Linked DNA regions of Rattus norvegicus. The protein of the gene in region 3 interacts with the protein of the main gene of each other region in a biochemical or structural test. Links are inferred from orthologs where the notes say so. Each region holds a gene or a part of one and is shown on either strand. Other genes may lie near its edges.

The links.
Region 1: the proteins of Kit (region 3) and Matk form a complex in vitro, tested with the Homo sapiens proteins (2 studies listed by BioGRID). The link is inferred for Rattus norvegicus from reciprocal best matches to the Homo sapiens genes KIT and MATK.
Region 2: the proteins of Kit (region 3) and Yes1 form a complex in vitro, tested with the Homo sapiens proteins (2 studies listed by BioGRID and IntAct, with this or other methods). The link is inferred for Rattus norvegicus from reciprocal best matches to the Homo sapiens genes KIT and YES1.
Region 4: the proteins of Kit (region 3) and Src form a complex in vitro, tested with the Homo sapiens proteins (3 studies listed by BioGRID and IntAct, with this or other methods). The link is inferred for Rattus norvegicus from reciprocal best matches to the Homo sapiens genes KIT and SRC.
Region 5: the proteins of Kit (region 3) and Mpdz form a complex in vitro, tested with the Homo sapiens proteins (2 studies listed by BioGRID and IntAct, with this or other methods). The link is inferred for Rattus norvegicus from reciprocal best matches to the Homo sapiens genes KIT and MPDZ.
Region 6: the proteins of Kit (region 3) and Kitlg form a complex in vitro, tested with the Homo sapiens proteins (3 studies listed by BioGRID and IntAct, with this or other methods). The link is inferred for Rattus norvegicus from reciprocal best matches to the Homo sapiens genes KIT and KITLG.
Region 7: the proteins of Kit (region 3) and Plcg1 form a complex in vitro, tested with the Homo sapiens proteins (3 studies listed by BioGRID and IntAct, with this or other methods). The link is inferred for Rattus norvegicus from reciprocal best matches to the Homo sapiens genes KIT and PLCG1.

What each region holds. Positions count from the first base shown.
Region 1 is NC_086025.1:9,109,947-9,114,025, reverse strand, and holds the start of Matk (megakaryocyte-associated tyrosine-protein kinase), read left to right. Parts: upstream 1-1,279; 5' UTR 1,280-1,330; intron 1,331-1,367; exon of another isoform or gene 1,368-1,656; intron 1,657-1,835; 5' UTR 1,836-1,886; coding exon 1,887-1,895; intron 1,896-2,444; coding exon 2,445-2,558; intron 2,559-2,653; coding exon 2,654-2,769; intron 2,770-2,855; coding exon 2,856-3,075; intron 3,076-3,335; coding exon 3,336-3,429; intron 3,430-4,079.
Region 2 is NC_086027.1:120,684,860-120,688,359, reverse strand, and holds part of Yes1 (tyrosine-protein kinase Yes), read right to left. Parts: intron 3,370-3,500; coding exon 3,266-3,369; intron 3,175-3,265; coding exon 3,025-3,174; intron 1,052-3,024; coding exon 896-1,051; intron 734-895; coding exon 554-733; intron 1-553. UniProt on the Homo sapiens protein: Non-receptor protein tyrosine kinase that is involved in the regulation of cell growth and survival, apoptosis, cell-cell adhesion, cytoskeleton remodeling, and differentiation.
Region 3 is NC_086032.1:32,916,313-32,919,812, reverse strand, and holds part of Kit (mast/stem cell growth factor receptor Kit precursor), read left to right. Parts: intron 1-1,222; coding exon 1,223-1,337; intron 1,338-2,916; coding exon 2,917-3,110; intron 3,111-3,500. UniProt on the Homo sapiens protein: Tyrosine-protein kinase that acts as a cell-surface receptor for the cytokine KITLG/SCF and plays an essential role in the regulation of cell survival and proliferation, hematopoiesis, stem cell maintenance, gametogenesis, mast cell development, migration and function, and in melanogenesis.
Region 4 is NC_086021.1:166,543,341-166,547,487, forward strand, and holds the start of Src (proto-oncogene tyrosine-protein kinase Src), read left to right. Parts: upstream 1-1,347; coding exon 1,348-1,597; intron 1,598-2,753; coding exon 2,754-2,853; intron 2,854-3,063; coding exon 3,064-3,081; intron 3,082-4,147. UniProt on the Homo sapiens protein: Non-receptor protein tyrosine kinase which is activated following engagement of many different classes of cellular receptors including immune response receptors, integrins and other adhesion receptors, receptor protein tyrosine kinases, G protein-coupled receptors as well as cytokine receptors.
Region 5 is NC_086023.1:100,814,063-100,816,504, forward strand, and holds part of Mpdz (multiple PDZ domain protein), read right to left. Parts: intron 2,212-2,442; coding exon 2,099-2,211; intron 1,373-2,098; coding exon 1,249-1,372; intron 1-1,248. UniProt on the Homo sapiens protein: Member of the NMDAR signaling complex that may play a role in control of AMPAR potentiation and synaptic plasticity in excitatory synapses. Promotes clustering of HT2RC at the cell surface.
Region 6 is NC_086025.1:36,781,334-36,785,459, reverse strand, and holds the start of Kitlg (kit ligand isoform 1 precursor), read right to left. Parts: upstream 2,801-4,126; 5' UTR 2,627-2,800; coding exon 2,612-2,626; intron 1-2,611. UniProt on the Homo sapiens protein: Ligand for the receptor-type protein-tyrosine kinase KIT. Plays an essential role in the regulation of cell survival and proliferation, hematopoiesis, stem cell maintenance, gametogenesis, mast cell development, migration and function, and in melanogenesis.
Region 7 is NC_086021.1:169,829,299-169,832,798, reverse strand, and holds part of Plcg1 (1-phosphatidylinositol 4,5-bisphosphate phosphodiesterase gamma-1), read right to left. Parts: intron 3,369-3,500; coding exon 3,265-3,368; intron 3,043-3,264; coding exon 2,946-3,042; intron 2,703-2,945; coding exon 2,633-2,702; intron 1,938-2,632; coding exon 1,780-1,937; intron 536-1,779; coding exon 439-535; intron 308-438; coding exon 83-307; intron 6-82; coding exon 1-5. UniProt on the Homo sapiens protein: Mediates the production of the second messenger molecules diacylglycerol (DAG) and inositol 1,4,5-trisphosphate (IP3). Plays an important role in the regulation of intracellular signaling cascades.

The DNA.
Region 1 (4,079 bases), on a different chromosome or scaffold from region 3:
GTAGAACAAACTTGTGCACAAGGTGCACTGGTAAGACAACAGCAGGAGGTCTCACAGGCGAGCCAGGTCCAGTCAGACAGCAGCTGATCACTGCAGAACACTTGGGTCACTACTGTCCCCTGTAGTGGGGCATCTGCCCCTGCAGTGTGGGTGGTGGGCACTGCGGTAGGCTGACTGCAGCAGGGAGGGAGGCTGTGACTCAGACACTGTCATCAGCAATAGGGGTAGTGAAAAGTGGAACTTCAGCCAGCCTTGCTCCAAGTCTCTGGGCCTCCCTGGCCAAGGATTCCTAAGTGGTACCTGCCTGGGGACTTATAGCTTCTGGTGTGGCTTCTCGGAGTGTCATGTCCACCGGGGCCAGGCACCTCTGTCCAAACTTGTGCTTAATTAATTAGTTAGGTTTTATTTGCTTTATTTTTTTTTTTTGAGGCAAGGTCTCACTAGGTAGCTCTCTATTGTAGCCCAGGCTAGGCTCCAGCTCACAGAGATCCTCCTGCCTCTGCTTCCCGAGTGCTGGGAGTGCTCCACAGCAGACTGGCTGATGTTTCTGAAAGTACAGACTGACCAGGCTGCAGCCTGCCTTGTTCGCCTCCCCAGACAGGGAGCTCTTTCCTACTCATAGCATCTGCGCGTGCCCGAGCCGTTCCAAGCTCCCAGCTTTCCCGGGGTGGGCAACGGAAGGCTAGGACTCAGCGGGGACCCGAGAGCACCCGGCACTCAGCAGCACCCCGCCCGGACGGAGTGGGAGGAGGAGCGGGAGGAGGTGGCAGCGCGGCCGTAGAGAGGCCGGCGCTAGGACCCGCAGGGGCTCCGAGCCGGTCCCCTCCATCCTTGCCCCAAAATGAGGAAGCCTTGCAAGTTGCTCGGAGTTGAGCCACCAGGGCGCTCGGCCGGCTGGCAGGGACCCTCCAGGGGTCGCGCCCTAAGCAGGTGAGCGCGTGTGCGTGGGTGGAAAGGGGACACCACTTCGAAACGGTCCTGGACCCAGGAGCGTCGGGTGCAACGGGCTGGTTTTTTTGTTTTATTTTGTTTTTCCTGGGTGCGGCGTGCGCGTCTCTGAGTGCGCGAGCCCCGGTGGTCACTGCAAAGCCCTTGTGCGCCTGAGGCACGCGCACAGGTGCACGGGTCTCGCTGGCGCCCGTGTGGCGCACACGGGGGTGGCTGGTGGCACCTGTGCCTGGATGCACGTGCGCCTCCGCCTGCGCGGCTGCCGTGCAAACCCCATTGAGCCCGAGGCCAGGAGCGCACCCCAACCTCCCGCCCTGCCCCCTGCCAGCCACCAGCCAGGGACCCAGGCAGCCACAGTCCTGCGGTGCCGCACTGGGATGGGGTGGGTCCTCTCAGATGTTTCTTTAGTGACCCGTGGTGACCTAAGGAGCCTGGAGCCTTACAGGAATCCGGCCTCTCCAGGCTCCGCTCAGGGTCAGATTTTCAAGAATGACCTTGAGTCACGGCCCCTGCCCACCGCCTCTGCCCACAGCCCAGGAAAGAGGAAGCCACAGGCCCAGCTCTTCCTCACACACGGCCCTGGCTTCCACTCGGGACACCAGAGCACTCCACTCCTACCTCAGTTTCCCTTCCCGAGCAAAGGCAGGGCGAGGTTCCCGAGTCTCCTGGCTGGCCTTTGGTGGCCGGGAGTCTAAGGATCTTCCTCGGGTAAAGATCACTTCCCTAAAGCCAAGGGCTGCAGAGGGGCTCCACACCTAAGCTATCCAAGCGGTGATCTGAGGGAGGCACTTTGCTTCCTGGCTGCTACCTCCGCCAGGCCAGGCCAGACCCTGAGGAAGGAACTGGACCTGGGGACACTCCCAGCATGAGACTGCCTCCCTTCACAGGTGAACCCTCAATTCTAAGGAGCTTGGCACCCCACGCCTGCTGCAGCTAAGATGCCAACGGTGAGTGTGGGGCCCTGAGTCACCGGACCTTTTGGGGAGAATAGGACATGCCCCCTACAGTCCCCAAGGACCCCGCCATACTGGCCTCTGTGGCTGTTTCCCTACGCCCTCCCTTCCTTCCCCAGACTTCCCTTTATCTTATTTGACTTCTGAGACAGGGTCTCAGTATGTAGGTGTGCTTGGGATTTGATGCGTAGCCCAGGCTAGTCTCAAACTCACAGAGGTTCACTTACCCCTGCCCTGTCATCCCCCAACCCACCCTGATTCTAGGATTACAAGTGTCCATCACCACGCCAGGCATCTTCCGTTAGTTTTTGAGACCAAGTCTCACTGTAGCCCAGGCTGTCCTTTAGCTGGTCTGGAACTCCTCCTGCCTGAGCCACTTGATAGCTTCCTACAGGCTTGTGTCTTCACTGTTCCCTTGTCCTGTCTTCTGTCCCCACCAGCCCCAGCTTTTTTTCAGGTCTCTCAGGTTTCCCACTTGTCCCGCAGTAGGTCCCTGACATCCCCCTATCCCCACCCCACCCCCCGCCTCTGTCTCCTTCCCAGCAACGCTGGGCCCCTGGGACTCAATGTATGACCAAGTGCGAGAACTCACGCCCCAAGCCCGGTGAGCTAGCCTTTCGAAAGGGTGACATGGTGACCATCTTGGAGGCCTGTGAGGTGAGAGGGGGGCTGGAGGGTAGGTGGTGTGCCTTAGGGGCGCCAGGGCAGACATCCACTGGCTCCTTCCCTCCACCTGTCCCCTTCCTGTGCAGGACAAGAGCTGGTACCGAGCCAAGCACCACAGCAGTGGGCAGGAAGGGCTGCTGGCGGCTGCTGCTCTGCGACAGAGGGAGGCCCTTTCCACAGACCCCAAGCTCAGCCTCATGCCGTGAGTGACACCCTGGGGGTGGCATGAAGGCCCCAGCCACCTTCCACGGTGGCCTCACACAGCACCCTCCCCACACATCCCCACAGATGGTTCCATGGCAAGATTTCCGGTCAGGAAGCCATACAGCAGCTGCAGCCACCCGAGGATGGGCTGTTCCTCGTGAGGGAATCGGCCCGTCACCCTGGTGACTATGTCCTGTGTGTCAGTTTCGGCCGTGATGTCATCCACTACCGTGTCTTGCATCGAGATGGGCACCTCACCATTGATGAGGCCGTGTGTTTCTGTAATCTGATGGACATGGTAGAGGTGACCTGTGGGGGAGGCTGGGGCGGGAGGGGTGGAAATGTGGATGGTGGGCCCCAGCAGCTGTCATTTCTGTCTTTAGAACTGGGGTCACCTCCCCAGGGCGCCCTCAGCTTCCATTCTAACACCCCACACTGTTGCCATGGGAACGTGCTCACCTTAGCCTGGCACTCAGGGGAGTCTGCCAACCTCATGGAGTTTGGGTTGGGGGTAGTGGAAATGGGATCTGAGAGCCAGAGGCTCATGGCCGCCGGCTTCCACAGCACTACACCAGGGACAAGGGCGCCATCTGCACCAAGCTGGTGAAGCCCAAGAGGAAACAGGGCGCAAAGTCCGCAGAGGAAGAGCTCGCCAAGGGTATGAGCACTGCTCCTGCGATAGGTAGCTTCTGCGTGCACACCAGGGAGACTCCCACCTCCCGGACTCCCACCCTCATGCCCCAGCCCTGGCTTGGTTAAGCCCTTGCACCTTGCAACCCTGTCACACTTTTCCAGTGGGGTCTGGAGTCCCAGAGACAAAAATCACAGTGGAGAGAGCTGTCTGTCGCGTTTGAATTTTCAGCGTGGGGGCAGGGTGGGGGCTAGAGGTCTTTGAGAGGGAGGGAAGGAGGGAAAAAGGGAGGGCTTTCAGAGACAACTGCAGGTCTGTGCAGAGTACAAGATTAGGGAGACTACAGCCCTGGAAGATTCTAGAACTTTTATTCTGTGTGGATCAGCAAGGGGAAAAAAGGTCCTCCCAGAGGCATGGAAGGCCACAAGGGCAGCCACACTTCTTGTCCCCAGAGGGAGGTCCTGGAGCCATGGCTCATGTCTAGGGGACCTAGGAGACCTAGGGGGATTGTACTCTGATGGAAGCCAGGGCAGCTCTGGCTTGCAGGATTTAAACGGTACCAGGAGTGGGGTGTCCTTCAGACAGCCTTAGTGCAGCTGCTGGGGCAGGCACATGCTCAGGTGTGCACAGCTGTGGGGATGGATGTCAGCTCTCCAAGTCTCACTGAATGCAAGCTG
Region 2 (3,500 bases), on a different chromosome or scaffold from region 3:
CTCTCCATCAAGGCTCAGGGCTCTATTCAAGTGCCAGAAGTGGTAGATGACTCCAGGATAACAGCATTTTCTAGACACAGCAAGTCTGATACATATAGGAACTCACAAACACACACACATATATAGCATGCACAATACCTGCAGAGTTCACACCGATAAATCCTAGCACAGAAAAGGCAAAGCACATGGTTCAACTCCTAACCAAGAGCCTATTTGCAATTGACAACTGCTGAGAAAGGGGAAAATCAGTTTTTCCAATGGAGAGACACTGGGTATATCAAAAACACCCCAGAGAAGGTTGCATGCTCAGGAACAGTTGGGCAACACAAAATGAACTCCATGTTTTTGTTTTTAATTTTGTGTTGGGTTTGTCTTCATACTTTTTTGTCTGTCTTTCTAAGAGAAGGAATATAAAGTTTGGTGGGTGGGTGGGTTGAATGGGGATCTGAGAAAAAATATGATATGACTAAGATATATTGTATGTTTTTTTATCTAAGATTAAAATTGTTTCATTGTAACACAATCCTTTAAAAAACGATTCATATGTACATACCTTTTGACATAAACTCAGTGACAATATAAATTGGCTCTTCAGAAACAACTGCATAGAGCGGAACAAGTTTATCGTGTCTTAATTTTTTCATTATCTGAGCTTCTTGAAGGAATGCTTCTGGCATCATTGTACCTGGCTTTAGTGTTTTGATTGCTACTTTTGTGGTTCCATTCCATGTTCCTAGAAAGAACAATTTATTTTACTCTTTCAATCTGTATTTTAAGGAATTTTAGATCAAAATGTAATCAACAATAAAAGTTGTATTATATAATAAAATATTTTGCTATTTTAACTTATGGCCATATAACAAAATGAAGTAACAACAAAGCTTGGGCTTCTTACCCATCCACACTTCACCAAAGCATCCTTGACCTAGTTTAACCTCGAGTCGCAAAGACTCTCGAGGGATTTCCCAAGCGTCTTTTGCGAGACCTTGAGTCTGCGGTTTCACAGTTGGACAGACGGTTGTTAATTTGTGGCATAATCCATCAGCATGTTCTAGATAGATAAAAGGGTACACTGCAAATGAATCACTTTCTAAGACAAATAGAACATTAGTGTCTGTAATCATATGATGATTTTTATTTGATCAATCTTTGAGATAGATCTCACTATGTAGCCTTGGCTGGCCTGGATTGAACTCAGAGATTTACCTGCTTCTAGGATTAAAGGTATATGCCACCATATTTGGCTTATTATTTGTTTTTCTTTAAAAGCTCGTCATTAAATTTAAATCAGTCTCCTATCAGTATTATTCTAAAAAGATATATAACATGGGAAGCTTTCAATAGAAGATGGAGTATATATAAATGAAACTTTAGAAATATATTTTATGCTAATATTTATTGAGTATGTATGCTTATGTTATTATGTCAGTCAGCACTACATAAATCTTTCATATAAATTGAGATTGGAAAAGCTAAGAGAACTGTCTCAAGGTCCCTGCTAGTAAATAAGAACATTCAAACACAAGTCTGTCTGCTTCCAAAACTCCACTCTGCTTTTTGGCAGGTAGTAGGGTATCTGAGAGTTGAATTCAGATTCTTCCTGCCTTAGCCTTCTAAGTGAGGGAATTACAGGCCTGCACCACAGCTTAAAATGCTTTTGACCATTAAGATTCATGTATTCCCCCAGGGAGATGCATTATTAGTTGTTATTTATAATAACCACTAATTCGTAAAACTCTGAAAATCAAGGAAGAAGTTGATATAAGAGTTTGAATTTTAAATAAAGGAGACCTGAAGGCAGCCAGTCCAGATTCAAAATGGCTTGGTTTGTGTATCCTGCTTATATAAAACCTCTCATTGTAAATGAGACACATTTCCTCCCATTCTCATCAAGTAACCACTTAAATCCTTTATAACAAAGGCAATTACAAGTAATGCTAGCTTAACAACACTTTCAATCAATGGCAAACTTGTTGATTGACTTGATAGTTTGTTTGCTGCTAGCTGTCACAGAAGAATTGCCATGGAAACCTCCCCTCTAATTATTTAAAAATTTTCAGATGCACTTACATATCTAATTGACAATGAAAAATTTTAAGACCCAGGACTCCAGAATAGAATTCAAAAGACATTCTATAGATAAGAATGTCTATAGTTGCTATAAGTTCATTTTTTCTTTGGTAAGAAATAGCATCTTCAAATTGGATTTGGTAGGGTTTATATTTTAGAAGGTATTAATAGATTCAGCTTCTACAGAAGGAAATCAAAGAAGGCATTTGAGGGCTTATGACTCTATTCTTTCTTTTCCTTTTAGCAGTGCTGGAGAAGAAACTTCTGCACACATAATTAAGTGCTTTACCACTGAGCTACAATTTCAGGTCTGAGAAAGCTTTTTTATACTACAAGTTTAAGGTTTAATTTTAGCTACTTAGTGTACAAAAATAAAGTGTCTGTTGTCATGTTTTTTAATTTATTGTCACAATCTATCTTAGCATTTATATATTATGATCTAGAACTCCAATGTAAATACCATGCCAGGAAGACATAACAATTTCAATAACAGTTTGATTTGCGCATGCTATCCTATAACCCAATTCAGTTTCCAGGTATCATCATTATTTATTTCTCTGAGTCAGGGTCCTGCTCTACCACCTGGGCAAGATGCAAGTCTTGTTCCTCATTTTGAAACTAGAGCACAGCACCAGCAAGATGGCTCAGCTAGTACCTGTGGTCAAGCCTGACAACTTAAGTTTCATCCACAGAACCCACATAGGATGAGGAGAGAACTGACTCATTGTCACCTAACCTTCACATATGTACCATAGCATGTGTGCGTACGTACACACAGTCACATTATACACAAATAATTTTCAAAAACAAAACAAAACAAAAACCCAACCCAGAATACCAACATTTATTGGGCATTTACTGTGTGTAGATATAAATGAGATTAAAGTTTGATAAACTTGTCTTCATAAAATAGAACATAAAGGATTAATTCCTACCTCTGAAGTGTTCACTAACCTGTGTAATGCTTCACCAGTTTCTGTAGAGTATCAAACTGAGCTCTGGTCGTGATGTAGTATCCACCGTTGTCAAGTTTTCTGATTTTGTAATGCTTCACATTGTCACCCCTTACCTCATCCCAATCACGAATTGAGAGGGAATAAGCACCTGCGGAGAAAGTGGGAATGAACACATTCATTCCAGTTTCCTTGAACTACGGTTAATGAATTCCATGCACATATTAATATGATACTCATACCTTTAGTAGTTTCACTTTCTCTTACTAAGAATATACCTCGCTGATTCCCAGGATTCAGAAGTAATCTTTCAGCATCTTTTCTCCCCATTTTGCCAAAATACCATCTAAAAAAAAGATTTGGAAAGATTTGAGGGTAAGAAAAATTATATACTTGTATCAATAAGAATGGTATATGATAGCTGGGCAGTGGAGGTGCACAACTTAATTCTAGCACTTGGGAGGCAGAGGCAGGTAG
Region 3 (3,500 bases):
GTGTCATTCATCTGTGAGTCAATCTTGATGCTTTTAAAAACCTTCGTGTTGTATTTATTCGTGTGTATGGGGGGCAGTGTGTACCACAGCATGCACATGGGGAGGTTAACGGACAACTAGTGAGAGTCAGTTCTCTCTCTAGTTGGGTGTCTGGAATCAAACTTAGATAGTCAGAATTGGTGGCAGTCGGCTTTACCTGCTGGGTAAAGCCCCTCCCCCGCTCTAGTTCTTTGCTTGCTCCGTCCCTGTTGCTTAACCAACATCCTGTCAGACGGAAGCCGTTGTTCCCTTCCTATAAATGAAGAACTAGAGTGAGGAGAGGGATTTGGAAGCTTCACCAGTTGGATTGTCCACCTCACACCTGCCTTGCTGGTTCCTGCAGCGATTCGTTCACCCACGCTTCCCATCTCTGTCCGCACAATGCCCACCGCTAAGTGCACTCATCCTCAAAGGACCAGAAGCCTTGGAGTACTACAGTGCCACTAGAACCGGGCACTAGACGTTCACCTTGCTTTCACTTCAGGAGCAATTTCCAGAATTCGAGATCGTCGAATATCAATTGATTATTGTAGCTACACAGGGCTGTCGAATTAGAGTCTTCCTGCTGGCACAATTTATGTTTTTGCTGATTATACCCAGGCTGTAGATAAATGTATGAACGGGACTCTGGGGCTCATCTCGGCCTCCTTTTCTGTGTGTGCTTTGAGGGAAATGAAGGTTTAGCCTCTCCCACTGCCTCTCACTGTCGTGGTCTAGCTTTCCTGTAAGTATGACAATCCAGGTCTTCTCAGCACCACCTCTTGCACTGCCTGAAAGGAGTGCATAGCTTCTGTTTTTCTGCAATAGCATCTAATTTCATCCATTCCAGTCCCTATAGCAACATGAGGTGTTGGAGCAGGTAGGGTGGCTTGAAGACTTATGGGCAAGGAGTCCACGTTAAGAAAGCTGATTTGGACCTGAGGCAGAAACTAGCCAGGCTGGTCTTGCAGGCTCTGGGCTACAGAGTTCCTTGGGATCCTTATACCTTGAGGTGGATGGGGAGGATCCGGGCAAGGCCGCACAGCATACCCACTGACCCCTCGTGCCACCTCTGGGTGTCTAGCAAGTCCCTCGGGTTCCTCAGCTGCTTCTGGATGGTCTAGGGATGGGAAGAGAGAGAAAATGGAGAAGAATCATGCCGTGGTTGTTCAGCCGACTGACGTGGCTATTTCTCTTCCTGCAGCAAAACCAGAAATCCTGACATATGACAGGCTCATGAATGGCAGGCTCCAGTGTGTGGCGGCGGGATTCCCGGAGCCCACAATAGATTGGTATTTTTGTACAGGGGCAGAGCAAAGGTGAGAAGATTATTTTTGGCACTGCTTAAAATGCAGAAGGGAAGGGCTATAATTCGCTTGAATTTCAAATGTGTTTTCAGACTTGCTATTTATTTTTTAGAATAAAAGACTGTCTTTTGATTATTTTTTTCCCTCCTATATCTGAGTGGCTTCTTAAGAAGGGATAATGGCTATACTTTTCCTGGTCGACATTAATTTTTGTTTGCTGAAAAATGATTACTGAGTGACTTCTCTATTTTGGTGGTTTATCTTTTTGGGTTTATCATGCAATTTCTAGCCCGCAGGTAGATAAAGCAATTTCCCAGGACAGAGTAATTAGATTTCCATTCTATACACAGGAGGTAGTGTGTGTGGGAAATGTGGCTGCAGTTATCATGAAAAAAAATTACCTCAGAAGTTAATTGCCAAGTAACCAAAAAGTAATGATCGCACAATTACAACACACATATGGCATTTGTGAGCAGTGGGTTCGCAAAAGTGTTTCTCCTTGATTAGGTGCCCAGCCCCCGAAACAAGGAGCATCTGCCACTGTGTGGCTTTTCCCTTGAAGTCCACACTTAAGCCTTAAATTGTCCTCTCGAATTACCTGAGGATGGAAATGGGGTCAGCGTTGCCGTTTTTTTTTTTTTTTTTTTTTTACCCATAAAACACCATGTTATACTCCAGCCTTAAAAGACTTAGGTTGGCCTCATAAATAGTAGTGGAAATCTTATTTTTCACTGAAGATGTTTTATGACAACATATCAGGACTGATTGTATCGAATGATTGTTTTAGTGTGGGTTTTAGCAGATCGTTTGGTTTGAGGGAACAATAAAGAAGGCATAAGAACTCTGAACATCGTGCCCTCTGTGGCCTGGCCTGAGTGTATTATCTCTCCTGCTCAGCAGAGTGTTTAAGTGGAAACGAACCGTGTGCCAAATGTTGGGGTAGCATGCACCATGCGAGGCTGTGCCCACGCCTCTGTCTTGCTGGATCTGTATTTTATGGCTGGAGAGAGACAGCAGACAGGGCGAACTGACGTGTGTAGGTGTTTCAAAGACAATGGGAAAAGAGGGGTTTCGGGACTGTCTCTCAAAGAGAAGACCCTGCAGCCAGAGTGGCCACCGCCACACGATGGGACCACTTCCAACATGGACCCTGGGCTCCTCCTTTTGAGTCTTTCTTGTCTTCCTTCTTGTTGATTTCTTCCAATTTCCTCCTCCGACCTCTCCATCTTCAGCCATCACACATCCTTTCTGAGAATCTGGCCTGGCAGCATCGGTTGCTGGCAGCCATTTTTGAGTCTCTTGAAGATGGTACAGCCATAAAAACCTAACCCTGGAGAATTCACAGAACCTGGTAGAAGTCCCTAAGAGTGAGGATAGAAGTCCACATCCAACCCCTAAACCTCACTTCCTCCTTCCACTCTTCTGCAGTGCCTTCCTCGCTCACAGGGCCCCAAGGGGTTTGTCTCTCCTCAGGCCGTCCTGGTCGGTAGGTATGGCGGGGAGTCTGAGTTTCTAGCTTTGCCATCAAGGTGCCAGGCCTTCATTTGACTTCCTGGCATAAGCCCACACTGTCGTCGTCCTCTTGTTGTAGGTGTACCGTTCCTGTCCCGCCAGTAGACGTACAGATCCAGAATGCGTCTGTGTCACCATTTGGAAAACTGGTGGTTCAGAGTTCCATAGACTCCAGCGTCTTCCGGCACAACGGCACGGTGGAGTGTAAGGCCTCCAACGCTGTGGGCAAGAGCTCTGCCTTCTTTAACTTTGCATTTAAAGGTAACAGCAAAGGTATATTTCCTTTTAATCCAATTTAAGGGGTGTTTAGGCTCTGTCCACCATACCATAATCTTACATCCATTCCAATATTGGTCATATCATCTCTGGTTGTGCTAGCATCATATCGTGCTGCTATCGAACTCACAGACTCGTTCCATATTAATCTGCTGGTGAAGGTTTTGCCTTTACCGATGCAATCTTAACCATTTTTCTTTCCCTGGTCTCCGTGTGTTTGTATGCACTTCCTGACTAGGAGTAATAGATGCACAATTATAGTTGGGTAGGGGAGCTTCCCTACCTTATGCACCAGTATAATTAGGACACATTAGAAATTGTTAAATTCGGGGCTGGGGATTTAGCTCAGTGGTAGAGCGCTTGCCTAGGAAGCGCAAGGCCCTGGGT
Region 4 (4,147 bases), on a different chromosome or scaffold from region 3:
GCATTGGGTGCCATGAAGCCTTCTGCTTGGTCCCTCTGTGTCGAGGTCTCAGGACCTCTCAAACTTTCTCTCCCTTTCATCTTTCATTTGGTTGTTTATTAAGCACCTGCTGTGTACCTCACTCTGTGCGCACCAGGAATTAAAAGGAGAGGGGGTTACATATAGCCAAGGCTGGTACAGTAGTCTGGGGGCTCCTGAAAGGATTTGGAGACCCCCTTCTAAAGGATATGACTTGAAACATTTTTGTTGCTTGCTCTTCCTTCCCTCCCTCCCTCCCTCCTTCCCTCCCTCCCTCCCTCCCTCTCTCCCTTCTTCCTTTCTTCTGTGCGCTTATGGGAAGGCATGTATGTGAACCACGAATGTGTGAAGGTCAGACGTCAGAGGACAGCTTGCAGGACCCTTTCTCCCATCTCTCTCTCCACCATGTGGGTTCTGGGGACTGAACTGAGGTCAGCAGGGTTTATGATAGGTGCCTTTACCTGCTGAGCCATCTCCCCAACCCAGGAAGTGACTTTGAGCTGAGAGTTGAAGTAAACTGATTGGGGAGATGTCTTAGTAAGGGTTATACTGCTGTGAACAGACACCACAACCAAAGCAACTCTCATAAGGACAACATTTAATCATTTAATCGGAGCCGGCTTACATATTCACAGGTTCAGTCCATTATCATCAAGGTGGGAACATGGCAGCATCTAGATAGGCATGGTGCAGGAGAAACTGAGAGTTCTACATCTTCATCTGAAGGCTGCTGGCGGAATACTGGCTTCCAGGCACCTAGGATGAGGGTCTTATAGCCCACACCCACAGTAACACACCTACTCCAACAGGGCCACACTTTCTAATAGTGCTGATCCCTGGGCCAAGCATATACAAACCATCACAGGAGGGGAAGTTGTCAGGGAATTTGCAAAGGTCTTGTGGCTGGAAGGCCTGGCCATCTCCTCTTCAAGCCACTATACTGCTGCTTCAATTAACACTTTTAACACCTTTCCCCCAGTGTTAGACAACTTGTCAGACATGTATTCATTCAGCAAAACTTAAATGAGTCCCTCCTATGTGCTGGGGACACAGATATGACTCGTGTCCCTGCCTATGAAAGACTAAAGCTGACTTTGGGTCCTGCTGGACCCAGGGCTTTGGACTGGTATATATGTCTTCTATCTGTAGCTGTGTCCTAAGGCGCCAACATCTCATTTTACAGGTGAAACTGTGAGACGAACTCTCCCAGGGTGGCAGGGTCCCCTTCTCAGGACCTTAGTCTGCCTATCTGTTTAGTGGGTAGGGTGTCTTGTCTGTTCCCAGATCTCTCCTCTACCTGGGGGATTTCTGTCGCCCCCAGCCAGGACCATGGGCAGCAACAAGAGCAAGCCCAAGGACGCCAGCCAGAGGCGCCGCAGCCTGGAGCCCGCGGAGAACGTGCATGGGGCAGGTGGCGCCTTCCCTGCCTCACAGACACCAAGCAAGCCTGCCTCCGCCGATGGCCACCGCGGGCCCAATGCCGCCTTTGTGCCCCCCGCGGCCGCCGAGCCCAAGCTCTTCGGAGGCTTCAACTCCTCGGACACTGTCACCTCCCCACAAAGGGCGGGGCCTCTGGCAGGTAGGCCCTCCTCCTTGCTGAGTGTCCCAGAGCTGTGGTGCACCCTTTCTGGGTTCTGGGGACTTGGTTTTCCAGAGGCTGCGAATGGAGAAGGGCTCGTAAACTGGAAAGCGGGGCTCCTGCCGCTTTGGGGATGCCAGATTCAGAGTATAACGGGTTCCGAAGGAGAGGGTTGTAGGGGACCCCGAGACCCGGAGGAGAAGGACCACCATGGACTAGCTGCCACCTCCCGCCCAGCCTTTGTTCCTGGCTCTGTTGTGTGGTGGCCCGAGTGCGCCCCTGCGCCCTCTGCTGGCGCTGCGTGGTGCGGCAACCCTGCCGCCCAGGGGCTGAGCAGGGTGACTCATGCTCCTGCATACATGGCTACACCCACACGAGCAAATCCCACGCTCTGACGGAGCCATACTCACGGCTGCACACCCGTGCGTGCAAATCCCGCACTCGGACTCAGCCACACGCACGGCTGCACACCCACTCGTTCAGATCCCACCCAGACTCAGCCATGCTATGTGCCCACATTGGGCATGTCCTCGCACTGAGTGGAGACGACAACAACAACAAAAGGCCCCCAGTGTTCCTAGAGACACACCTAGGCTAGACGCCTGCAGTGCGGAGCACACACAGACACAGGTGTGCATACAACCTCGCCCCCTCAGGTGGGCCTGTGCGCCTGCTTGCACGCAGAAAGCAGACATGGGCTAAGGTTCCCAGCCCCACATCCCACCACAGACCCTTGGACAGGCTGCCCACTCCCTGCCATGCAGCCACACACCCATTCGACCATTTGAGAGGCGTTTGTGGAGCCTTGGGCAACGGAGGGTGGGCTGCAGGAGTCCAAGGAGCAGCCGTGGGTGAGGGGAGAATCAGGAGAAGAGTCCTGAAGCTTTGCACCAAAGCCTTAAGTTGCCAGGCACACATATAGGCGGGGCTTAGGGCACCTATTGTGTGCTGGGTCTGAGTGCAGAGCAAGGGAACCTGTTCTCTGGGGCTTCTGCTTGTGTCAGTAGACATATCAGATAAGGAGCACCTAGTCTGCAGCCCGGCAGGGAGGCACAGGCTACTTAGCTCCCTCTCAGGGACAGGCTGGTGAGTGAGAAAGGCAGCCTCCCACGCCCACCCCCTGCAGGGTTCTGACACCTCCCATCCCACTCTGCAGGTGGGGTGACTACCTTTGTGGCCCTCTATGACTATGAGTCACGGACAGAGACTGACCTGTCCTTCAAGAAAGGGGAGCGGCTGCAGATTGTCAATAACACGTGAGTGGATGGACGGGGACTGCACTGGGAGCGTGGGTCCATCTATACCCAGAGCTGCCGGCAGAGGGCGGTGCAGAGCCTACAGGGCTGCTTCTGCAGTTGGTGGGTGGTGGTCCTCCCTAGACCCCGACTAGTCTCCTCCCTTGTCCTGGGTCCTGTCTTCGCACCTCAGCCTCTCCTTCTCTCTGCTTCTCTCTCGCTGGCCCTTAGGAGGAAGGTGGATGTCAGGTGTGTACCGAGGCCAGGTAGAGGGGGATGCTTCGCTGAGGCTGGGGACTGCTCTCTGCATGTGCTTCCTCCACTACCCCTGTGTGTCTCCAGCTCTCTCCCTGTCCTTTTAGCTTATCCTGCATCCCACCTGTTTGATCCGACCCTCCATTTTCTCCCCACACCTTCCCGTTAGCTCTCTTCCTCCCTCTTCTGGTGTGTGATTCCATGACTGGGTGCCAGCTACTTGCAGGACCCAGTGTATTCTGGAGGCCAGGGAGGGAGGCAGTGTGGTGGGGAATGGGTTACCCCAGACTAGGCCAGGGGTGGGTAGGAGCAGTCTGGGGTCCCTGCAAGATGACCCTGAGAGAGGGGGCTGTCTCTATCGGACTGCCCATCCAAGGAAGGACAGTAAGCTACTGCAGGTAAGGGTGGGCAGTCTCCCTGGGAGGGGGGCAGCTGATGGTCTGTGCTGGGCTGAGGACCTCTCCCTGGAGCAGGTAAGGCTTGGGGACTTTGATCTGAGCTGTTCTGGAGGGTAGAGAGGATCCGTCAGAGAGTGCTCCCAAGTCCTGGCTAAAGAGGTGGGTTTTCCATTTCCCTATGCGTGTCTCGGTGCTCATACCTCCTGATCCTTGTGCATGCTACTCCGTTTGCCTGAAATATTTCTTCTCCTGTATCCACCTGGTGAACTCCTATTCACCCCTCAAGATCCAGGGTAGGGCTGCCCTCCCTGCAAGCAGGTGCCATGTGCTGTTCTGGCCACTCTCATTCATACCCCTCCATCTTGTTATCACTGGTCTTGGGGGCAGCAGTGACGGGGGAGGGGCTGCTCTAGTTTGTGAACGAGGAAACTGAGGCTCAGAGTCATGAAGGCCCTTGTCAGAGGTCACGTGACTGCCAAGTAGTAAGCCCAGAATGGAGCCTGCTCTCCTTTCTCTGGACTGGCACCTGGGGAGGGGCCTCCTCAGTACCTCCTTCAGTGGCCAGCGCTCCTTCCATCCTCATGGGAAGCCCCTGAGTCCCCATGTCCCCAGCTGTTGATAGAATTGGTGGCCAGGAGGAGAAGCGGTGTGACCCTGGTGCT
Region 5 (2,442 bases), on a different chromosome or scaffold from region 3:
ATCCTTTCTACGCTTTGCAAGGAAAGCCTGCTCAAGCCGTCTTGGTTTTTACTACAAGGGAAAAGAGATTCTTCTTATTCCTATAGGCCCTAAATAATTATGATTAAACACAGACATCACTATTTAAAAAAGAACTCCATCTAAGGCACGCACATAGACGATAATTATGCAATTAAATATAAGATTAAAAATATGGAAAAGTTAATGAGGAGAGTATAATGATGAAATTCTTAAAATATGTTCTAACTAGCAAGCCTGAAATAAATTGTTCCTAGGCCGAGGGAAAGGATTGCATGGTGCTTCTATTCATTGGCAAATGCTGTCTGTATTTTTGGATATACCAATAACTTTAAAAAAAAATCTCACAAATTAAGCCTACAGCTAGTTTGCCACGGAACAGCACTTTAAATTGGTTGAAAATAGTAGTATTTTTCTAAAATAATAGGAACTTCCATAAAATCAAGGGCCATAGAATTTAAAGAGACCGAACGAAGTCTCTGTAGGCCTGATGTTCACTCCACTATTTTGTGCTGTAAAATGTTAGATTCTTAGTTTTCTTCTGCAGGAAACATTATTCAATTTTGTAGTCTTCGAAAATAGGTCTTAATAACACATTATCAACCATTATATGCATTTCTATTATTTTAATGACTTCATCAAAACTACGGTCTCTTTATTCTTATTCTAAACATTCCCAAGATAGTTTAGTAGATGACTACAACTATATACAGAGCTTTCTTTTCCAAAGTAATTGAATTCCTTGATTGCAAATAATGCTTTATTGTAGACAGCAGGTCTGCTCACCACTCTTCAAATGTATAAACACCCTAGTCATGATGTGAGATTAATTCTGTGTATTTTTCAGTACCTACTTTAGGTTTCACAACTATAAAGGAACACAGGGGAAAGCGTGCCAGTCCTCGACAGTAGACATTTTATGCAAGTCCATTTTCCAAAGATAATCGTATGTGACTTGCTATTAAATGGAAAGGACAGGCTTCATTGATTATGTCATGTATATTGCTGAGAGTTTCCATGGAGTTACAATTTGAACTAGTTTTCTCTAAACATAATGAAACCTCAAACAGGACAAAAATATTTAATGACCTGTTCCTGCAGGGATTTCAAAAGAAAATATCAGTGTTAACCATTTGGCATCACCTCAGGCCATAAACTAATAAGCCAGCTGCTGACCAGTGTTAATTAATGTTTAGTAAGGAACAGAGTGGTTAACAACTGCAAGCTTACCTTTGCGAACACTGTTTTAACATAAATTGGTAAGTCTCCATGAGGGCTGCCATAGCCACCTACAATGCTGAAGCCTAAGCCATCTGGTCCTCGGTCTAGTGTTATGGTCTTAGACTGTGGAGGGCTACAGAAAAGGAAAGGAGAAAAAAGGTTTCCCAACTGAATGTGCACACGCATATGTATGCATGTGCGCACAAACACCCCCACCCCAACCCTTGGCTCTGTGCTTTACCTGACTCAGACTATAGCTAGCATATTCTGCATTTACAGATAAGGAAGATGCTATTTATTACATGTTCTCATGGCACAGAAACTCTCATTCTCATTTTTTCCAGCTTATTGTGAGGGGATGAAAGTTCAAAGGGCCATAATGCAAGGTCATAAACAATAGTTTCAACTTCAGACAGGAAAGTCAATTGTGAACAAAATGAGGGCAGCATCAAATAACTTGAAAATTTAAATGTCTCTCTTTACTTTTCATCTTTCCCAATGCTTTTATATTTAGTGTTATTTTCTAATATATTCAGTATTTTCAATCAAAGTTCAATGAACAAGAGCAAGAAAATATCCTCTCAAAAATATCAAAACTGAAAATTCAGGAAGTGTGGTAGGGTGAATAGCTGTCTGTAGTCTATTCATCTCTTACTAGGTAACTGTTTATACTCGAGGCAGTTCTGACCAGGCAGTGGTCTGTAACCCACCCATCTGACTAGCTGACTAGAAGCATTGACACTCTCTACTTTATATGCCCTCTCCATTTATTTTACCTCAGTGTGAGTGCCCGGAACATGGGACAGAGACTGCAACTGTCTCAAGGAATAAATGACACACCCGATAATGTATTGCTCACCCTAAGTCATCCGGAAATATAGTGCTGGAAGTCAGCCCAGTGAAAGCAAGGCAAGGATTGGCAAGCTCTTGCTGATGACCCGTGACCACACTCACATCTCCTCCAGCAACCACCTGTGTGTGGGCACAGTGAGAGGAGGAAACGCATGTTCACCTAACCCAAGAGATCCCAAAAGACCACTCCAAAGAAAAACTTAGATTAAAATGAGAGTTTTTACTGACTGACTACTTAAACACAGAAATGATTAAAACATTATTGAAAAGAAAGAAACTTCACAATGCCCAGGAACCTCAGATATCCAAAATTAAGTTCTATAATTTTCTTTGTTTTCTAATCATGGCTTC
Region 6 (4,126 bases), on a different chromosome or scaffold from region 3:
TTTTTATTTATTGGGTAAAGAGAGTATATTGAATGGGGGTGGGGGTGCAATAAGGGAAGTTGGTATCGATCCCATATTTACAGTAGGCTATTTAATAACAATAGATTTTCCTCCCAGGCTAAGATAACATCAGATTAAAGAAGCCAAAAGCCTGGATCGTTTTCTTAGTGTCCAGTTCCCTTACACCATGCTCTCTCTCTCTCTACACATTCAGGGTGGCACAGAACATTTCTTTTTGGCTCTTGGATCAGGAGATTTGACAATAGTAAAGAGAATCTAATCCCCTCCTTCATTAGAAGGGATTATTTTATTGATTTTAAGTCATTTCCAGAGCCCTCTCTTTCAGGGACAAGAATGTGAATTGCTAGAAGTATCCTTAAAGGAAACCTTGAAGGTCATTAGATTCCAGACAATGAATGCTTCCATTCAATGAAAGCACCGCCCTCTTTTTGCCTACAAACCCTTTATCAGCAGCATGTCCCCCCCAAAGGGCCTGCACTTTAACTTGGTCCAAACAGGTCACATTTCTAAAATACTTAACTGTCTCAAATATCTCTGGTCGGCAGCACTGAGTCACTGCCGCCACGGCCACCGCCACAGCGTTTCGGGCTAGATCGACCTCTTTCTAGTTTTCAATGGAATTATTCCATGTAATCCTATTTACACAGCCATTTAATCAAAGCGAGAAAAGAGATTACAGGGCTCTCGCTTGTTTTGCAAAGAGGGCGCAGGGAACATCAATCCTACTGACTCTCAAAGTGACTCCACAGCGCACAGCTCTGCTTTGACTGTTGGACATTAACCTTGTCTGTCTCCTGTTTTCTTGTTTAAATAAGAAGGCTCGGACTCTCTTCCTGTGTCGGGGGCTGCCACACTCAGAGCAGCCACCATTATTCATGTAAGCGGATGCTACTTTAAAAAAAAAAAAAAAGGAATAGCTACCCCACCCTTGTTTATTATTCTACCAAACAGAAGGCATGTACACACCAAGCAATCAGGGCGAAACTTTTCTTTGTTGCAATTCTTAACATCCTCATCTCAAGAGCAGGATCTCAGGTGGGATGCTTTGGGTAAAAACTGACCTGCACGCAGGGGCGGATACCTGCTTTCCCCTGAGCCCCACTCAGGGCAAGTGTTCTAAGAAGAGCACCTCCAGGGTGACAGGCAGGCCATACTGCTTCCCTTATTCGTTTCTAAGCCAGGGAAAGGTGCTTTATTCTTGCTGTTTCCTAAAGGGTCGGATCCCAGGCTAGATATCTATTTAAAATAAGACGTCCTATGAGCAATTTAATAAATTACTGGCAGCACATTGATATCTTCATCTATGCTGAAAAAGAGCACAAACCCTCGAATCCCATCCCCTTCTACACATTTCAGAGATTTCAATCAACTATAGAATTGGGGGCGGGTGTGTGTGGGTGTGTGTGTGTGTGTGTGTGTGTGTGTGTGTGTGTGTGTGTGTGAAAGAGCAGCTTTACCCAACCTGCTGCGGATGACAGAACAAATTCGGAAAGGAAGAATCTTGAAGAGATAGCAACCACGAGGCTAAAAAGAACTGTAGAAGAGAACAAGATTACTACAGAGGCTCTTTCTACGCCCCCTCCGCCGTCAACGAAGAAAAGACATAATTGTACCCCCGGGCTGTGTTTTATGCATAAAGCGCAATTTAGAGACCCTGGACATTATCTCAATAACTATCCTTAGGAGATGCACATTTAAAAAAAAGAAGGAAGAAGAAGAAGAGGAGGAGGAGGAGGAGGAGGAGGAGGAGGAGGAGGAGGAGGAGGAGGAGGAGGAGGAGGAGGAGGAGGAGGAGAAGAAGAAGAAGAAGAAGAAGAAGAAGAAGAAGAAGAAGAAGAAGAAGAAGAAGAAGAAGAAGAAGAAGAAGAAGAAGAAGAAGAAGAAGAAGAAAGAAGAAAAGAACTTTTACTGTTTTGTAATGGAAGGGGGTGTCATGCAGTGTGGAAGTACTACTACTCCATCTAGAGCTTTCTGGAGGGCCCACCCAGAGCTGTGAACCCGGCCGACACCGCAGGCTGCCAAGTTTCCCCCGCCTGCTGGGCAGGTTCTGCACCCCGCCTGGCGCTGCCGCCTAGGAGTTCTGGGTTGGCTTCGCTCCAGCGGCTGCACCCGCGTCCGCACCGCGTCCCGCGCCCACCTGGGGACTGCACAGATAAATCTGACTGTGAGAGCGAGCGAGCGAGCGAGGGTAGCGCGTGGGAAGCTGTTTCATAATCTACCCGAATCCACAGGGAGAGACCTCCGGCCCCAAAAAAACAAGCCTTCCCCGTGATAACTCGAACCCCCAGGCCGAAGAGGGAAGCCTGCATCTGCGGTTTGCCACTGACAGCTTCAAACTTTGCAGCTGCGGCTGCAAACTTGCCACAGGCTCACTCTCAGCCCTGGCTCTCCCCAGCTCCCGGGCTCACCCCCGGGGCGGCGGCTCCGGCTCGCACACCACGCCTGCCTCTCCCACACCCTCCTGGCTCACCGGGCGGGCGCAGCCCCACATGGCCCGGTTGCCGGTCCCAGGGTGCGCCGGGCTCCCCGGGGCTCCGGGAGTGATTTTCTTGGAAAGCCTCCGAGCTCCTCCCGGGCGTGCCCTACTCACTTGTGTCTTCTTCATAAGGAAAGGCAGCGCTGCGATCCAGCCCAGGCAGCGGTGTGGCGACTCCGTTTAGCTGTTCTGGAGCTCCAGCATATTGCACGAGCAGCGGCTGCAGATAGTCCCAGCATTGGGTAGCTCGAGCGCAGCGCCCCGTCCTTGGCCGTTGCTTTCCCGCGGCACTCTCAGTCCCGGTGACAGACAGCAAATGAAGCCCGGGCTGCTGCGCCGCCAGCGCTTTTTATACAGAGCCCGCCCGCCCGCTCCGGACACGCCTCCTTCCCTTCCGGAGCCTCCGGGAGGCAAGCTGCGCGCTGAGCCTAGGCTGGGAGACCCGGGAGCGCGCTGAAGGGCGGGGATTGTCCCAGAGGTTGGACCGATCGAGCCTGGTGCGTCCCCTGTCTGGGTACTGGCCAGAGTCCATGAGGCACCGGGTGTCTCCGATGCCGCTGAACAACCTGCAGTAGCCGCCCGCGCCGCGCGCTGGGCTCCGAGAGTCCCAGCTCCTTAGCAGGCTCACCCAGTACTGTCCGGGGACCCGCGTTGTACTGTGCGCTCTGGAGAGGGTCCCAGCTCTGGAGCGGTGCGGCGGGGAGGACTTCACTTGGTTCTGAGCAAAGACTTTTCTTCTACCCCGCCTCGGGGAAATAGAACCAACAACAAAAAGTTTAATTACACTCCATGGTTTAGCCATTGTCTTAGCCAGTTTTTCTTTCCTTTTCTTTCTACTTCCCTTCCTTCCCTTCCTTCCTTTCCTTTTTCCTTTTGTTTCTCCTCTATTACTTTAGTGAGAAAATAATTGACTCAGAATCAAATATTACTGAGGGAGATGCAGTTTTCAACAGTTTACTACAGTACCTTTGGAAAACATAGGTCACTAAATGTATGGGTTCTCACAGCAAGGGTTTTGGAAGTTCCACTTTTAGGTTAGGAAAGTCTGTAAAATCGGAAAGAATGGAATGTTCATGGTAATAGCTCACACGCTTAAGCGATGTATCTTTTATTACATACTAGGTGTTGTGCAAGAACTATTCATGCATTATCTCTTTTCCATGGGCCTAGTGTGTAGAGCCTGGTGTGTGTTTCTATCCCTCCCCTCCCGTGTGTGTGTGTGTGTGTGTGTGTGTGTGTGTGTGTGTCCACGAGTGTGTGTGTCTTTTCCATTTTACAGATTAAGAAATAGCCCTAAGAGGTTAATTTCCCCAAATAGTCAAGTAGCAGAGTTCAAATCCAGATCCTACTGCCCTAAAAAAAATTAATTAATTAAAAATAATATATATATCGTTCTTGTTCCCAAAACCCTTCAACATTTTTACATGTAATTGAGGAATAATTTTTTTAAAAAGCAAAGCACTTTGTTATTTTTGTAAGAAATATATTAGCCTGAAACCCCCATCAGTAATTTTTTGGAACAAGCATACTGTCCAGTCATTCTTATAAGAGAGGACTATTCCAAATTTGCTTTGATTATTAATTAGCCCAGTTGCCATTGTTTAAAAAAAAAAGTTAATAAGCCAAAGT
Region 7 (3,500 bases), on a different chromosome or scaffold from region 3:
CTTGTCTGGAAGAGTGGGATTACAGTACATTCTAGCGGAACTGCCCTAAGTGTCTCTCCCCACCCACAGAGGATCCCCTCACCTGGGGTCTGAAAATTGAGAGCTACAAGCTGGCTGCCACAGATCCACATGGGCAGAGGGTCATAATTGGAGGAGTCCAGCCTCTGACCCTTAGGGTAGATGCGAGAGAGCTGCAGCCGGTTGTACTGGAGGAACTTCTTGCCTTTGGCCTTGTTCACATACTTCTCAGCCTTGGTTTCCGGAAAGGAGGACATGTCCCGGTAACAAGCGCGTTCTGTGCCAATCTCTGAGCCAAACAGTGAGAGCATGTATAGAGCGGCCCCCTTGTGCAGTGTATGTAAGGGAGAGGGCATTAAACACCACTCTCACACCCCCAGCCCCTCGGCGCATGCACACCACACCTGGACCCAGCCTTACTCTCTTCGTCAAAGGGAACAGGCCGGCAGTAGACCACGAGCTCGGAGAGCTCCAAGGCGATCTTCTTCCTCCTCTCCATCATCTTCCCCTCAGTAAGCTGGAGACACACACAAGGCCCAGGCTGAGCCCTGCCCAGGAGAAGGAAGCTCCTGCCAGCCTTGGGTACACATTCACTTCAGATGTTCTGAGGCCCTCTCCTCTCCTTGCACATTTTAAATACCAGCAGACAGTAAACAAAACTACTGGCTGCCAGTTTCATCCAAAAAAAAATATCTTTTCCTTTGTCTCCACAGATACACTTGTTCCCCCACCATAACTTAATGTCCCAAATGACCTCACATGGAGCGAAGGTGGGCAAGGCTTTCCCAGTAATGCTTTCTGATTATTCTTTACCTAGCCTCATCCTTCAGCAAAAACAATGCTTCCTGATTCCTTAAGGCCTTAGGCCCACTTGGCAATGTGTGCCTTAGACGATCTTACCACCTCATGTCCTCCATGGCTAACACAACCTTCCTCTACTATCCCTGACCTTAGCTGCAGCCTACTCAGACACTCCCCACACACCTCTTGGAGGATCTAGCCCTTCAGCCCCTGTATCTTTCAGTACCCTGCCCTCCAGGACACACTAACAAAATCCTCTAGTCACAAATCTGCTCACCAAATGCACTGGGGCACAGCCTCTAAGTAGAGGTTCCTACACGTCTGCAATGCTCCACCAGGCTCAATGGAAGAGGTCTCCTCCAACAATGCAAGCTACCTACTCTCCACCAAGGCCAGCTCCCAGCTCTTCATGCTAGTCACTCTAAACTCCCTAGGACCCACTGCCATCCAACCTTGTCATGCCACTAAGAGACCTCAGTTGTGTCACTAGGAGTATCTGCTGCTTTGCTAAAGCCAATGGACAGCATTCTTACCACACCTCTGTGGCCCTCAGCTAGCCAAGCTCCACTGCTGTGGGTGGGTATCTGCAACTTCTCTGCCTCCTGTCCCAGACCCCCACCCTGTTACAAATGTTTCCCTAAACCCTCTTCTTACCTTTACCATCTCATCTCTTCTAAGCCTGATTCCACTCCTGCTGCCAGCCCAGGACCCCTCTTCTCTTAGCTCTGGCCTTTACTCTTTCAGGTGATCCACAGTATTTAATGTTCAACATTTCCTAAGTCCATCCATCACAATCCTGTCTTGAGTCTGTTCTTCTGGGCACCTTATCTAAGGCCAGGCCACATCAGTTACCCTCGCTAGAGGAGCTAGCCGGGGAGTTGGAGGCCTTGGCTCCTGGGCAGGCCCACGAGTGCCCTCAAAGACTGCAGCAGCACCTTCTAAGCTCTGGCAGGTTCTCACCCTGGCATCTGCAGTCTGGGCAACTTCACGGATCTTTTTCACCCAGTCCTGCAACTCCTCCTGTGAGTCAGCGGCAACGTCTAGGGACCACTGAGCCACTGACGGCATGCTGATGGAGAAGACGAAGAGCCGGTTGTTTTTGCCCTCAGGACGAATGGCTGTTGGGGGTAAAATAATACAGGGCTAAGAATGCTCTCATTTTGTTCTTTCTGATGCTGTGAACCCTTCAATATAGTTCCTCATGCTGTGGTGACCCCCCAACCATAAACCATTTCATTGCTACTTCATAATTTTGCTACATTTATAAATCATAATGTAAATATCTGATATGCAGACCCCGTGAAAGGGTTGTTAGGCCTCCAAAGGGGTTGAAATGCACAGGCTGAGAAGCACTGCCCTAGACACTAGCTCAAAGGAATTCGTTCCGTTTCTTCCTAGCGGTACTTACAAACAGGCAAAACTGGTACACAGCTCCAGTCCACAGAGGAGTCTGCTGTCAGACATATATACCGTAGTGGCTGTGGTGCAGCCAAGGCTCCAACCCATCTGACTCATACCTCTTCCATGGAGCCATGTTTTGTAACCCCCACCCTAACCCATCTCCAAGCTCCTGTCCCAACCCTGTGGTCTAAACCATTAGGACTGGATGTCAGCTTGTCGGGGTCTCTGCCAACTTTTGACTCCATTGTACCTGGCACAGAGTAAAATTTACAGATGACAAAGGAGTCTGCGATTTCCAGAGTGGAAGAGTAGCCTCTGGAGACTCAGCCACTGGCTTCCTCTCCAGGAGCAGACAGAGTCACAAGGACACCCTGACACTAAGAGGAATCACGGGCTAGGAACTGGAGCTCACCGATCTGGCAGGCTGGCACATCTAAGACCCCTCGCAGCAAGTCCCCCAGTGGGCTGTTCTCATCCAGATGCTGTAGGAGGCAAAACCACAGGATGGTCAGCTGGCTGCTGCGTGCTCAACTGAGGGGATTTTTGACTATCTTTGGTATATTCACGACCAGCCAAGCATGACATACGTACAATAGAGACTAGAGTGTGGCCACACAGGATGTGTGGCTCACAGATGACAGGAAGGCCTGGGTGTGATAGACACATCAAAAGAGAACCTGGGGTCAGGGAAACAAACCTGTGACACTGTGTGTTTGCAGACATACCTCCCTCTCCGGCTCTAGGATTGCTGGATTGATCATCTCTTCCACATAGTTTGAGGGGAACCACAGCTGCTTCTTCCCACCATAGTCCCCACGCCACCTGTGGAAGCCACAGGGCACTGACTCCAGCACCCACCCCGAACTCTCAAGATCTTCTTGGGGGATTCCCACACATAAGGCAAGCCAAGGCAAACACTGCTCGTGAACAGGAGACAAATGCTCAAAGCATCTGTCACAAGGGCTTTCAGTGCCAGCTCCACAGGGGCCCTGGACTCCTGTACCACCACACCACAGGCTCTCTAGCCTGGACCGCCTATCTTACCAGCCACCATCTTGCTTTTCCACATTCTGGATGATGGCGCTCTTGGTAAAAGTCAGCTCATCCTCTCTCTGGGCCTTGTAGTCGAAGAGAGCTTTTACTGCACACTGCAGAGGTAAGACAATGGGGCCGTGTGGAGTAAAGCGGAGGGGCATGCCCCGTCACTCGACCCCGTACAGCACATGTACATACATGGGAAGCACTACTGTTGGCAAGTAACCCTAGACACAGTTCTCAAT